Rhinolophus ferrumequinum: one gene and its partner. The protein of the gene in region 2 interacts with the protein of the main gene of each other region in a pairwise test. Links are inferred from orthologs where the notes say so. Each region holds a gene or a part of one and is shown on either strand. Other genes may lie near its edges.

Region 1 (7,857 bases), on a different chromosome or scaffold from region 2:
TCCTCAGTTATGTCTTAGCCTCGGCACCAGACCTGTGCACAGTAGGCCAGAACGAATGATAACCAGTGTGGAGTAATGCTGCACCCCAGGGCCTAAGAATCAACAGACCGGTCTTAGTGGAAACTCACCTGGGGCCTGACTTATTTGTTAGGTCATTTTTTGATGTGAGATAGGGCCAAGTGAATTTTCAGGGATTCTCGACCTGCTGCTTCAGGTCGTGGAAAAGTGCTGCTTCAAATAAGACTGAAAAGTAGCATTAGGAATTTTAGAACCAATTTTATGTGCACTAATGGCTACTACTGTAAAGAATAAGGCCAGAGAGAGCTTATGAAATCAGTTTCTCCAAGGAAGGAACTACTTAAACACAGGAAACAGGCTACAGCTCAAACCTATTGCAAAATGATCGACTGACAATACTTTTTTAATATCACATGTGGACTACAGTCAAAAGAGAAACTTTGGGTTTTGAGTCTTTAGAACTTTTACAGAAAGCAATCCCTTTAAACGAAGCCTGCAGCAACATAATTTTATGAATTCCATTACAGCCAACAACTTCCTCACAGGTTTTCTTGCTTCTTGCCAGGATAGGGAGACATCTCTTAGAGAGATGTTGGATGTCCCCATGTGGTTCAATGTCCCAGTGAGATCTGAGGTCCTTGACAAGCGTTACCTCGGGTAAACATCACCACAACCCTCCTAGCAGGTCCATTTCACAAAGAGACACCTAAGGCACAGAGAGCTTCAGCAGCTTGCCCAAGGCCACACAGCGAGTGAGAGGCAGAGCCTAGTGTTGGCAGCAAAGACGGTTAGAGCCCCAAAGGGAAGGTGAACCTGAGGAAATAAAAATCAGCAGGTTCGTGGGGTCAAGACAGCAGTCACCAGGTGGAGATTCTCCCTCCGATGTCCACACCTTGGCTGGTCTGGATACTATTTCATTCAGGAATTTAATAAGTTTTTTTTTTATTTCAGCTTCTTCAAGTCCTTTAATAACACCAAAATAAACGGGCTAACCCGTACACTGCATCCAGTATTTTAGGATAAACTCACAGCCTCACAGAAACTGCTGTTTATTTAGACGGTGTACCCACAAACATAACTCCTGGAGTGATAGGGCCTCTTTCAAAAAGGTAGACAATATCTCAACCTGCCCGTAAGGTTTACCCAAGGTCTGGTCATGGAGTTATAGGTGGGGCTGAGCCTATGCCAACTGGAAGGAGCCAGCTAGAAAAAAGACGGCACATAGTAGGATTCCATTTACAAGACAGTCTTGAAAAGGCAAAAGGATAGTATCAGAAAGAAGATCCATTTGCAGTGTGGTTTCCAGATTTCCAGGGCAGGGGGACTGACTGTAAAGTACCAAGAGGGAACTTTCTGGAGTGATGTAAATATTCTATATCATGACTTTGGTGACAGTTACATGACTGGATGCATTTGTCAAATCCATCGAACTGCACAATTTAATTCATGAATTACATGTATGTTAATGATACCTCAATAAAGCTGCCAAAAGTAAATTTAATAAAGAGATTATTTTGAAAAAAACTAAGGCTCAGCCAAGTGAGCTGATCATAGGGCAGAAAAAATATCACACAGCCAAGCTTCCGGGGAACCAAGTAGTTTTAGACCCTGGTTCTCTTCTAGGGTCTACACTCCATGACTTCCAATTTTGTCTTGTCATCTGAATAACAAGTGTCTTCCCCACCTGTTCATGCCACAGATCGTTTAATCCTAGACTATTGCAATCGCGATTTGAAACGATAGACAGGTGTGAACACGGCACTGAGGGCGGTGTAAAGGAGTGGTGATGTGGCAAAGCAGAGAGTACACTGAGCTTGGAATCTGCAGATACAAACTCCAGCCTCAGTTCTCATGTTTATCAGTGTTTTCCTTGAGATAATGCCACCCAGCCCGGAGTCTGCAGCTCTACTGTTTGCTTTGCCTCGGGGATCTTAAGTTTCCTCACCTGTGAAGGCAGAAGGTTATGCTAAATCTTTAATGTCCTTCTCTCAGTCATTTATTAATTCAGCAAACCTTTCTGAGGACTCATTCATAAGGCATTTAAAATAAAAACAGTGAGTGTGAAATAGGCGTGATCTGGAAGATCTTGCAGTCTAGGAAAGAGAGTGACGCTGCGACTTCTGAGGCTGGGTCATCAAAGGCAACAAAACATCTGCCTGGCTCTCTCTCCCCACATCCCTCTCTCTCTGTGGACAGTCATTGGTACCTGGCCACCATGCTGTGAGGAAGGCTAGGCCACATGGAGGGGCTGCTGGTCTGTGGCTGACAGCTCCAACTCAGAGCCAGCCTCAGCCTCCAGACAGTGAGGTACTAAGTGAGCCTTCTGGTGGCTGTGCCCCTGCCTGAGACCCTGAGCAACAGCCTTACCTTGCTGGGTCCAACCCACACCCAGAACTATGAGAGATAAGAAGAAAATGCCCAACCTTCTCTGTGGCATCTTTGAGGACAGAGGTTAACAGGTCTTTCCAGCCCATCACAGGAATCAGGAGGGCAGAATTACCTCTGAAATCCCTGCATTCCTTGTCTACCCACAAATACACAAGGGCTACTGCATTTGCAGACTAGCACAAGGGGTTCTGCCTACCTATATGCAGAGGGACAGTGAGTGAGCACTTTAGAGGGACAGTTGGCTTTTACAACCTTTTCTGCTGACCAAACACAAGCATTTCTACACCCACGAAGTAGACCTACTCTTGGATCTGCTCCTTCAAGTCTTTCTGCTACCCTGATTTCCGTCCACGAAGAAGTTTCCTTGACCTTAATAAGCACTCTGTCCAGGCCTCGGCCTCTCCGGATTCCCACCTAAAAGGGCTGCTGGGGGCAACCACCCACCGTCCCCCAAAGTCCACACACCCTGCTGGCCGCCTCGGCCTTCACCCCGGGGACAGGACCCCTGGGGACAGGACCCCCGGAGACAAGGCCGCAGCCAGGGGAGGTCCTGCAGCGGGTGGCGCCACCTGGACCCGAGTCCTGGCCCCGCACCCCGCGATCTGGGGACCCCCGGGGCCCGCTCACCTCCGGCCGGCTGCGCTTCTGCAGCAAGTGCTCCAGGTAGAGGTCGGAGAGCGCCGTACGCATACTGCCCCCGCTCTCGCTCTCGCTCGCCTTGAGCGTCATCTTGTCGGTGCCGGGACGCAGAGACGCGGGGACGCAGAGACTAGGGGTCGGACGGAGGCTGGAGTGCAAGGGCTCCGGGCCTGCGGGGCGGCGGAGGCGGCGGAGGCGGTGCGGCAGGGCCCGTCTCCACCCCGCAGGCGCCCCGCCCACTGCCGCCCTCGCCCCGCCCACTGCCACCCTCGCCCCGCCCCTGGACCCGCCGACGCCCGACCCCCGTGGCTCCCGGCACCCGGCTCCTGAGGACCACTAGGAGGCGCAGCTCTTGTCTCGGCCCCTGAGGCTGAATCCCAGAGGGGCTCCGAGGAATAAAGAAAACCGCGCCAAAACAGCGGAGCAGCCCCCAGCCTTGGGCCGGTTGAGTGCACGGCCCACACCCTGGCCGAATTCCTGGGGATGGGAGGGAAGTCTCCAGGGGCTGCGACGGCCGCCCTTTCAACTCCAGGCTCTACCTATAAATGCATGCGGGTACAGGACATTGCGAAAATGCCTTTAAGGCTCCTGTGCTGTTGGTACTCTCGTCATTTACATTGCTGTTCAGTGACGGAAGACCTGACTGCCTCTAACAGCAAACTGTTTCTCCTTGTCTTAGTCCACACCTCCTGCTGTTAATGCCACAAAATTTTTGAGGGATCAGTGGGAGCAAAGGGAGCCGAGATTCCTTAGGAATCCCAGAGTAGGATTCCTTAGCATCCTAACACCTTGGTGGCGTTAAACAGCAGTCTTTCTGAACAAAACTTTTACTGGACTTACAGGACTCAGGGTTGTCCACTAAGGCGTCTGTAGACACCTTTACCTGATGAAAACCTGGCCCCCTTTAAGCCAAGCTAGTAACCTCACAGTATTACAAGCAGTTCATAACTCTATGTACTCTATTTGGGACCTTCCAGTAACTCAGCTAACAGGAGAAAATCCAAGGGCAAGAGTTTGGAGCCAGATCACCCACTTTGCCTGCAAAGAGGCTGAATTCATATGAGTGATAGCTCCCTTCCCCAAGCTTACCCTAAAGGAGAAGGAAGGCAAACACACACACACACACACACACACACACACACACACACACACAATGTATTCCAGATTAAGGACTTAAATGTCAAAAACACAACTTTAAAGCTCTTGACAGAAAATATCAGCAAAGAACTTTTAGTCTTTAGGATAGAAAAAAGATTTCTTAAACAATGCAGACAAATGGTTGACTATAAAACAATATTGATTTTTGACTGTAGCATTAAGAACTTTCACTCATCAAAAGACAATGTAAGATCACTGCACTGTACACCTGAAGCTGAACAATAATGAATGCCAACTATAATATTATATATATGTATGTATATATGTGTATGTATACACTTACAAGAGGCGGAGTACAGCATTGGGAGTGGAGACAGTGGAAATGGGATGGCTCGGTGCGATGTCAGAGAGATAGTGGATGGGGGGTGGGGGATCCACAGTGTGAGGGAGATAAATGATAAACGTCTAAGTATTACTTTGTCTTGTGCACCTGAAACTAATAAAAAAAAAAGTGAAACATTAGGAAAAAAAAAAAAGAAAAAGAAACCAGAAGCCATTCTCCAAGGCAGCCACCTGAGAAAGAAGTGGGTCCTCAGACAGGAAGTAGAACGGAGGGGTGGACTTGAGGGGGGTGGAAGGAGAGCCTTTATCTGGTTTTCTTGATCTGGAGCTGTGCTTTCCAGTATAGTAGCCACTAGACACGTGCGGCTGTTGAACACTAGAAATGTGCTGGTATGAATTGAGATGTGCTGCAGTGTAAAATACGTACTGGATTTCAAACTCAGTACAAAAAATATAAATAGTTAATTAATAAAAAAAGACAACGTAAAAAGCACAAAAGACAAGATATGCATTGGAAGAAATGATTTTCAAAATACACAAGTGACCCTCAGTTTTTCCTCTTTGTCTCCAAAACTGTTTCTGATTAGTTCATTCACTTATTCTTTTCTTTAGATTCCGCAAATAAGTGAGATCATATGGTACTTATCTTTCTCTGTCTGACTTATTTCACTTAACATAATGGATGATGTGATACAGAATTGCACACCTGAAATCTATGTAATTTTACTAACAATTGTCACCCCAATAAATTTAAAAAATAAAATTAAAAAAAATACACAAGTGACAAAGGATTCCTATTATGAATATAAATAGAAATTAATAAGAAAAACACAAACAATCCAGTAGAGAAATGGGTAAAAAGCATGAATAAACGTTCCGCAGATGGAGAAATACATATGACCAATAAGTATATGAACAGATATCCTACCTCATTAGTAATAAGGGAAATAAAAAGCAAGACTATGGTGAAATACCACTGTACACTCATTCAATTATCAAAATGAAAATGTATAACAATATTAACTGTTGAAAAGCGTGTGATCCATATGAGTTCTTGAACATTGCTGGTGTGAGTAAAACTGGTACTTGACAGTTAAGAAAACAATTTTCCATTATCTTTTAAAATTGAACATGCATCTACCGTCTGAGCCAGCAATCTCTCTTTTCTCTCTCTCTCCTCTCTCCTTGCTCCTTCTCCTGAGCCAAACCATTCTTCATTTCCCCCACCTCCCTCATGAAGCAGGCCTCCTCTGAGGGAGGGCCTAGGACAAGATTATACAGTTGGAAGATTAGTTTCTGGGTTCGCTAGCAAACAGAGCCTGAGGCAACACATATGTGCTAAAACTTCACTGTAGGATGCAATCCAATGGGTGTAAGAGTGAGGGGAAAGGGAAAATGAGGCACAGAAGGATGGAAAGAAAATATAAATTGGTGTGCTCCTGAGCTTGCCACTGCTATTCAAGAAAATACAGCTTGTTTCTCAGTCTCTCTGGATGCCTCCAGATATGCTGTATAGAACCATGGCATCTTGAAACTGTCAAGGAAAGGAAAAAAATTGATCTGCCAGCAGATTTTGGCCTTATCTCTTACTGGTCGAAGTTAACCCAACTGGGTGTTAATTTTCCCACACCTCTGAGTTGTGTTACCTGGGTCCTGGTAGTAATTTAGAGAGTCAGATCCCACACACCACAGTTCAGTGCTGAGTTCAGAAGTGACAGGGGTCACAGCCTCTGTAGGTCTGGTCACATAGAATTTGAGGAGTTTTGGGCGCAGTTTTCCCATTTTTATATGTTAAGAAACTATAGTGATTGTTATTAATACTTAAGAAATAGTTGCTGTCTTTCTCTCTTTCCATAAAATTTACCCATGAATAATTCAAGTGGTTTTCAGTATAATCACAGAGTTGTACAACCATCCCCACTATCTAATTTCAGAACATTTTCATCACCCTCGAAGGAAACCTCATACCCATAATTATTCCCAATCCCCTTTCCCCTAACCAGTGGCAGCCACTCACCTGTTTCCTTCAGGACTAATTGAATCTACCACAAGGAGCTGAAAAGAAGCCTGTCCCTTGACATTTTATAAGTATAGATTGGCCCTTGCAATGGTTGGTAGCCGACAGTCACACTATTGGGGTGGCCTAGCAAAGCTTAAGTGAATATCAAGTGAGTTCTTGACTAATAGATCCCCAATGTGCCTGGCAGAAATATGTCTTTTCTGGAGAAGTCTTCATTAATACCAAGCCTTCATTTCCACACATATTTGCCAAGAAAATATGCAGCTTACAGTAAAATAAAATATATCACTACACACAAACAAGGAAACAAAACCCCACGAATGAGATCCAGCAGGTAACAAAATTGAATCAAAAACTTCAGACAGTGGAATTCAAGATTAGCTGAACATTAGAAAATGTATTAATCCAATGTCCCACATTAACATATTAATGGGAAAAGTCCTATTATCTCAGTAGGTAAAAAAATATTCAGTGTAACTCAACATCTAGTAAACAAACAAACAAAAACCAACTTTTAACATAGAAGAAAGCATCCTTAATCTGATTTTTAAAAAGTTATTTGTAAAAAACCTACAACAAATATATTTAGTGATGAAAAGCCGAATGCATTTCCTTTAAGATTTTGAACAAGAGAAGGATGCCTCTATCACAACATTTTTTCCACCTTGTATTGTAAGTCCTATTCGGTACAGTAAGGTAAAATAAAGGTATAAAGGTGTAAAGATTGGGAATGAAGAAACAAAATTGTTATTATCTGCAGATACTTATTGTCTTCGTATAATATCTTATTGTATCTGTAGAAAAGCTACAGATAAATTATTAAAATTATAAGCTCTATTAGTAAGGTTGCTGGCTACAGTCATTATACAGAAATCAATTGCATTTGTATATACCAGCAACACAGAGAAAATATAATTTAAAAATACCATTCATTATGACATTTAAAGTGATCAAATAGGAATAAATCTAATTGTCTATACAGAGTGTATGGAGACAATTATAAAACCATTGGAGTCCAGTGAAGAAGGGCTAAAAAATGGAGCGATAAGTCATGTTTGTGGTTTACAAGATTCAATTTTATGAATATGTTCTCCCCAGATTGGCCTATAGCTTCAATGCAATTCCAATAAAAATCTCAACAGATATGTTTTGTGAAATTTGGCAAACAAATTTTAAAATATCTGTGGAGTTGTAAAGAATAAGAATAGCCAAAGCATTCTAGAAGAAAATGGTCAGGGGACAGGCCTCCCAGAGGGCAAGACCTGTAATAAAGCTATGGTAATTAAGAGACTGTGGTATAGGCACAGAAATAGACAAATGGACTGATGGAACACAAGAAAGACTAGAAGCAG
Region 2 (7,357 bases):
GCCTGACCTTTAATCCCATGCCTGACTCACCTGCTTCTCCCTGCTCCCAAGGGCTTTAGCTTGAGCTGCTTCCTTGGTTCCTTGCACAACCTGTCCCTGACCCCTGGCTTTGGACTATGCTTCTGCTGTGTAGGGCTGAGCAGAGAATGGTGAATGGGGCTAGGCTGGAGCTGAGGGATGGAACGGTGGAGACCTGCCTTTCCTGACCAGTTCCTGTGGCACAGGAAAAGGGGCTGAATGGTCACAAGAAAAGCTAAAGAAATAATGAGAAGAGGAGACCAGCGAAGACACAGAAACTTAGAATACATTCAAACAGGATCAGACATCCAGTCTTAGCAATCTCCGATTGTCAGCAACCGGCAGGGACTTGAGGACAGGCTCCAGAAAAAGGGTGGCCACATGGAGCCCTCTTGCCTTCAGAAGTTCAGAGCTAGGATGAGTCAAAGGAGACAGGAAAAACTAGCAAAAACTCCTGGGGATCTGTGGAAAAGCCAATTCCCAGGCCCCACCCCAGAGAGCCCCAGGAAGCAGGGCCGGTGCAGGAAACTGCCGTTTTTGAGAACCACTGTCCTGGAGACGAGGGGAGGAGTGTCTACTGGAAAGAACGGGGACGAGAGTACTGACGGACTGGCAGAGCTGACAGTGCTGCAGGGGACAGACTGGGGCAGGCTGGTATCCCCGAGGCTCCCCGCCTCACAAGTTCCTGCTGTCATTCCTCACCGCAGGCTGGGTGTCTGCCAGGCAGAGCTCCATTTCCACGATATCCTCAGGACTCAGCCCCAGATCGGCACAGAGAACAGACATGAGGACTGAGTGGTGCCGGTCATCCTGCAGGGCGGAAGGGTGCTGGGAGGAGGCTCTGCTCTTCTTCTCCTCTCCCCTTCTAAGGGGATCAGTCCCTTCCCCACCTGCTCACCCCTCCCTGTGAACAAGGGACTGTCTTACTGCAGCATTGAGGGGCCCTGGCTCAGGCGTCCCCTTCTCTAGCTCCTCCTGGACTGCTGTGGCAAGAATGGGAACTCTGTGGGGAGATAAGTGAGGAGGGATTGTGGGGAGGGCACAACAGGGTGGGGTACCCCTAAGCTCAGGTATCTCCTGATGGGGAACAGCCCTTGCCCTTTAATTCCCAATTCGCCCCCCGAATGGAAGAACTGTTGAGCACCCTTGGACATTAAGTGGGTCCCAAAAACAGAACCTGACTGTGGCTACCTGAGACAGTGATCTCCCAAGTCCCACTGGGGCCCATTCCGTCACCTGGGGCCACACCCCATCCCGCTCGGTCACCACAGCCCTCGCCCAGTCTCACAAGTGCATCTCCGTGTTGGGCCCAAAGTTCTCATTGATATTTCGCTGCAGATGGATGGCCAGGTGCGGGATGCGAAGAATGGGCCGGTCCACATGCACCAGCCGCTGCTCCAGACTGCCTGAGACAGGGCACTGTGGCCGACCAGCCAGGGTCAGCCCAGGGTGCCTCCCGATCAGTTAGTTAAAGCTCCCACTTCACACAGACTAACCGAGCTGGTCCTCTGACCTGGACTGCCCTTACCCACCCCCCTCCCTGTGGGGGAGGGCTCTCCACAGGTCCTCTGAAGGAAGGTGACAATCAATCTTCAGGTAGCTGAAGCTGAGAACCTCCCAGGTTCAACCCCAATTACTACCTTGATAATGACGCGTCCAGCCAAGGTCAGGTCACGGTCAAACCAGGTGCTCCAGATCCCACCACCATAGGTCTCCACACCAACCTGCAGGAAGCCCACCTGGCTGCGACGTGATCGCCGTTTTACCTGAGTGTGAAGACGGGGAATGGGAAGTCAGAGAAGGCTGCACGACACGATCTGTAAACGAGATAGACTATCCACAAGCGAAGTAACATAGAAGGAACACTGGTGACAGAAAGACCCAAAGTGTGAAGAAGGGGAAGACAAAACGTTTTCCTGCTCCAAGGAATAGATCCCCCAATGTGTACCTCCCAGCTCTCTTCTGCCCACTTCTCTCCCGCTTTGATGCCTCCCCCATCCCAGAACAGCCCAGTTCCTCACCCTGAGGCAGGGGCTGTCTGTGTGGGCCCCAATGAGGCTGAAACCGTTGCCAGGAACATACTGGCCTCCTACAGCAAAAGCGATGATGGTGGAGGAGTTCCTGGTCAGGAAGTACTGGGGGGGGGGGGGGTTGTTGAATTAGATTAGCCAGCCAGCTGGCACACGGGACTTTGAGTCCCTGCCCAGGGAGCTGCCTTTCGGTCTCTACCCCACCCCTAGTACCTTGCTCTCCGGCTTGATATCCCAGCTCTCGGTCTCCTTGAGTTCATGGAAGCCAGCCTGGAGGAGGCGGCTGCGGCACTCCGCAACAACTATAGAAAAAGAACCCTTTCACCGCGACAGAAGCCGGTAGGGGGCACACCCGCCCCACCCTCCTCCGCTGCCCTGGTCACTTACCGTGGAAAGGAGAGGGGCTCCTGTTTACGAACTTGAGGAGTTCTCGGGCCGCGGCCTGCACCGCCTCTTTGCGGGCCATGCCGCTCATGGCCACCTAGGAGAGGGGAGCGCTCTAAATAACACCGACTATCATCCAGGCTCCAGGGACTTCCACCCCAACCCCCCAAAGTGACCGATCCAAGGCTCTGACCTCTGTTTCTGCCCGTTTCCCCACAGAGAGACGCAGATGTCGGGCCGAACCTCACTCCGCTGAAAAGTTTGTGCCTTCCAGCCAAAGTATCATCACCCCAACAGTGCTCCCCGCCCAGCTCGTCCAAGACACCCCGCCCCCTAGTCCGAGCATCAGCGCCGCCGGCTAAGTCCCACCCCCACGTGTCCGCCAGGCTAGGACATGCCGGTCGGGTTCCCGACTCTGAGCTCCCAAACCGGCTCCTAACTCTGAACTGGTCTGAACCACGTGCGCGACCCCCTTCTGTAACTAAGGCCCCGTTCACCAGGGAATACCTCTCCTCCCCGCCCATCCCTTGTTCCCACCCCACCCCAGTCTCTTCCAGGCTACCCCTTTCCAACCCCAGGAAGGTCAGGTCACTCCGGGCCAGGCTTTCGATTTCGTTTTGGGTCGGGCTCGGCCCCCACCTCAGCGTGCTGCTTGGGCCCGAGCGGGCGCCGGGCCGGGTCTGAGCTAGAAATTCGAGCCGGGCAAGCGGTGGGCACGCACCTGCACGGCCCCGCACACCGGCTAGTATCCGCTCCCCTGGGCCCTGCAGTCGGCCCGCCCCCACTCCTGCCGCCGGGCCCGCCCCGCGCAGCGCCCCTCCAGGCCTCACCGTCTGCCCCGCCTCCGCTGTTCGCCCGCCCCGCGCGGGGCCTCGGCGTCGCCCCGCCCTCATCGTTCGCCCCGCCTCGCGCCAGGCCTAGTCTTCCTCCCCGCCCTCTCCGCGCCCTCAGCGGCGGTGGCGGGAGCCCTCTGCCGGCCGGGAGGTAGTAGGACAGCCACCAACCATCGCCCCCCACCCCTCTTCAAGGTCAGAAAGTCAGAGAAGAAACTCGCCCCACCAGCTCACCTGGTCGGACAGGTACTGTACAAAGTGCTCTTTCTCGCCTCAGGCACCCTGTGATAATGATAGGAACATGGCTAATGGTCATAGAGTGCTCACCATGAGCTTTAGCTGTACGATTAAGCTTAACGTGTTATCTCGTTTAATCTTCACAGTTGCCCTCTCAACTTTGTACTTTTACTGTCATTTTATGTGAACAAACCTAAACACAGAGATGACTAACCTAGCCAAGGTAGTAAATGGCAGAGGTGGGGTTTGGACTCAAGTAAGTCCAGGGGCCTGGAACAACCCACTCTCAGATCGTTTCTGGGCCTTTGTTTTTCTTGGTAAGTGTTAACGTTACATGGGAGGTCCCTGAGGGACAGAGAAGTTAATGACTTGCCTAAGATCACACAGCTGTCTGGAGGCATCTGGGATTTGACTCTGATACCCATCTGTATTCTTTCCACATCTTAAGACGACAGGGAAAAAAACAAGTTCCGTGTGTTCTTGGAGGCAATTCCAATATTTCTGTGTCAGAAGTGGTGAACGCAATTTTAAAGCCCCATGCAGCTGCCTAACCATAGATACTGGTCAGGGCTCTTGGTGGCCCCTAGGTCCTGGCACCAGGGGTGTTATCAACATTCCAGGGATGACAGATGGATGGAGCATTTATGTACTGGGGTGAGAATGTCCAGGGAGTGGGGTGTAGTGGGAAAGGTCCTACACCCCTCACTTCAAAGGAGTAGCTCTTTCAGGGGAGTGTTCAAGAATATACACACTAGGTGATGGGTTAAACGCTTGGCATTCCTTGACCAACTATTGAAATGCCATTATGTACAAAGTTTCAGTGCTGAGTGGGACATGCAGAGAACATTCTTGTCCAGCTACTGGGGAAGGGACACATTTGAGGATAGTGAAAAGAGCTGAAACAGGGGTACAATGTATAAAGAAAGGAGACTTAAAGAAATATCTTTAATGTTCCTCTGATCACAAAAACGGAGTACACGTTAATGTGAGAAATTCGAGTATCACCAAAACATGTACCTTAGAAAGTGAAAGTAAATGATAAATTGAACATCCATTCTTGATAAAACGAAACAAAATCATCTTACAAAACCAGAAAGAGGAAGGATAAAGGCTGTCTGCTAGAAATCTACAGCAGGCATTAGTGGGGAAATACAGAAGTGCTCTTATTCAAATCAGGCGTAAGACACTGGTGAGCTGTTGCCAGTAGTGGTCAGTGTGGACCTGCAGTCAGAGCCAGTGCCACAAAACAAAATAAACAATTACATAGTAGACGGAAAAATAAAATTTGTCATTATTTGTAGGTTATACTATAGCATTACCTAGAACCTCCAAGAAAATAGACTGACAGTTTTTTAGAACTGGTAGGAGGGGTGGCCTGATTTTCAAATCATTGGCTTGCCTGTACAGTAATCAACTGGAAAATATAATAGTAAAAACGTCCTATAAGAAATACTATTAGAAGTCCTAGGAGTGAACATATGAGAGACCCAGTCTCCCTGAAACTAGAGAAATGCATTTTGATTTGTCAGTATAGCAAAAATGAAAAAAAACTGGTAATACCAAGAGTTAGAGAAGGCTTGGGGTAATGCATGCCTTTATACTCAATTTCTGTGGGGTAAATAAACACTCCCTGTGGCAATTCCAGGTTGCCATCATGCACTAAACATGGAGTTGGGAAGAGATATTTAAAAGCATAGCATTATATAGATTTCCATCATAGACTTAAAATTGACATAACCTCAAGAGCATAGATTTATGGTAAGATAATTAGGAAAGTGATGATTTTTGAGTATTTATTATCTGTGTTTGTAATATGATTTATTTAATTGTAAGTTCATATAATTTAATTTTTTAATGATTGCTGTGTTTAACAACAGGATCACAAAATTCCTGGAAATTTGACAATCAGTTCCTATGAGCTGGTCCAACTTGGCTCTAGCACACAACTTCACCTGTACTCTACATCGTTATTCCTCAAACTGTGATTTGATGATCTGGGAACTTTTTAGAAATGCAGAACCCCAGCACTTACCCAATCCTACCCAATCAGAATCTGAGTCTTAACAAGATCCCCAGCTGATTTGAATGCACATTAATGTTTGATACACAGTGATTGAATACCATGTGGCCATAAAAAAATAATGTGAGGTCAATCTTTATGTATTATAGAAAAAAGCTCCAAATATATTTTTGAGTGAAAAAAAGCAATTTGCAGAATAATATTTATAGGACAAGAGCATTTAAGTAAAATTTACACAATGAGCTAAGTTTCTAAATTTTGTGTGTGTGTATATATATATATATATATATATATTTTTTTTTTTTTTTTTTTTCCTCCCCCAGGTTTGGAAGGCGAGTGGTCATCTGTGGACAAGGTTATGGTACTGGATATGAAGCTAACCAAAAAGAGTTTCTGAGACTCATTCTTGCCCTCAGCCTCCTGAGAAAATCTTGTCCCCAGTCCTTAGCTGATGTTTACAATGCTACCATTTATTTGTTTATCTTCTTGGTTTAACACGTGCCTGTGAGTTAACACTGCAGTCAGTGACACACACTTCAGTGTGAGTTGATTTGTTATGCATGTCCCTTCTGACTCATTACTTTATGAGAGAAGCTTCCTAAGTAGTAATTTGTCACATAATTATTAAGGGTGATTTAGGATACAAAAGACCAAAGCAATGCTGTAAGGAAAAGAAGGTATGAGGTATTTGTGTGTGTGTGTGTGTGTGTGTGTGTGTGTGTGTGTGTGTCCTGCTGCTATCTGCTAAAATGCGTGCAGAGAGGAGCTGAATCAGGTGATCTTGATTTCCTGATGCCATGACAGCTCTGAGTATCTCATTGCTGGTAGTTATCTTGGTGCTTTAAATGAATAAATAATTCGCTTCTGGGTATAATGATAGGAGCTTGCATAACACAGTATGTGTACTTTGTCCTCTGACAGTGTTGTTGGAAGAGCACTTTGGTTTCCAAAACGTGTCTTCTTCTCAAGTTCTGTTTTCCCAGCAAGACTGAACTGATTAAGAACGAAATCCCAGGATGCCTTGAGGTGAGTAGCTCACGCAAGATTACAATTTCCAACCAATTATGTTCTAGGAGGGAGGTTTAAAAAGTCCTCTATATGGTTACAAAAAAAAAAAAATGGGGCCGGCCCGGTGGCTCAGGCAGTTGGAGCTTTGTGCTCCTAACTCCGAAGGCTGCTGGTTCGATTCCCACATGGGCCAGTGGGCTCTCAACCACAGGGTTGCCAGTTCAATTCCTCAACTCTGGCAAGGGATGGTGGGCTCCGCCCCCTGCAACTAACAATGGCAACTGGACCTGGAGCTGAGCTGCGCCCTCCACAACTAAGACTGAAAGAACAACTTGACTTGGAAAAAAGTTCTGGAAGTACACACTGTTCCCCAATAAAGACCTGTTCCCCTTCCCCAATAAAATCTTTAAAAAAAAAAAAAAAAATGAAGCACCTCTATAGGTATTGATAGGGAGCAATTTCCACGATATACTAAGTGAAAAAACAAGGTGCAGAATAGCCCTTACGATATGCTGCCATTCGTGTGTGTAGACCACAGGCACACATTCTTCATTTTTTTTTTTTTAATTTGGGGAAGGAGAACAGGACTTTATTGGGGAACAGAGTGTGTACTTCCAGGACTTTTTCTTTCCAAGTCAAGCTGTTGTCCTTTCAGTCTTAGTTGTGGAGGATGCCGTTCAGCTTCAAGTTGTTGTCCTTTCAGTCTTAGTTGTGGAGGGCGCAGCTCAGCTCCAGGTCCAGTTGCCGTTGCTAGTTGCAGGGGGCGCTGCCCACCATCCCTTGCGGGATTCGAGGAATTGAACTGGCAACCTTTTGGTTGAGAGCCC

The links. The genes of interacting proteins can lie anywhere in the genome.
Region 1: the proteins of DNPEP (region 2) and MPP1 interact in binary tests that used the Homo sapiens proteins (3 or more experiments, as listed by UniProt). The two-hybrid records come from large-scale screens. The link is inferred for Rhinolophus ferrumequinum from reciprocal best matches to the Homo sapiens genes DNPEP and MPP1.

What each region holds. Positions count from the first base shown.
Region 1 is NC_046284.1:5,755,813-5,763,669, reverse strand, and holds the start of MPP1 (55 kDa erythrocyte membrane protein), read right to left. Parts: upstream 3,278-7,857; 5' UTR 3,136-3,277; coding exon 3,034-3,135; intron 1-3,033. UniProt on the Homo sapiens protein: Essential regulator of neutrophil polarity. Regulates neutrophil polarization by regulating AKT1 phosphorylation through a mechanism that is independent of PIK3CG activity.
Region 2 is NC_046291.1:16,123,320-16,130,676, reverse strand, and holds the start of DNPEP (aspartyl aminopeptidase), read right to left. Parts: upstream 3,199-7,357; 5' UTR 3,072-3,198; intron 2,774-3,071; exon of another isoform or gene 2,626-2,773; intron 2,548-2,625; exon of another isoform or gene 2,530-2,547; 5' UTR 2,524-2,529; coding exon 2,436-2,523; intron 2,351-2,435; coding exon 2,262-2,350; intron 2,154-2,261; coding exon 2,040-2,153; intron 1,785-2,039; coding exon 1,659-1,784; intron 1,438-1,658; coding exon 1,307-1,437; intron 1,022-1,306; coding exon 946-1,021; intron 829-945; coding exon 721-828; intron 1-720.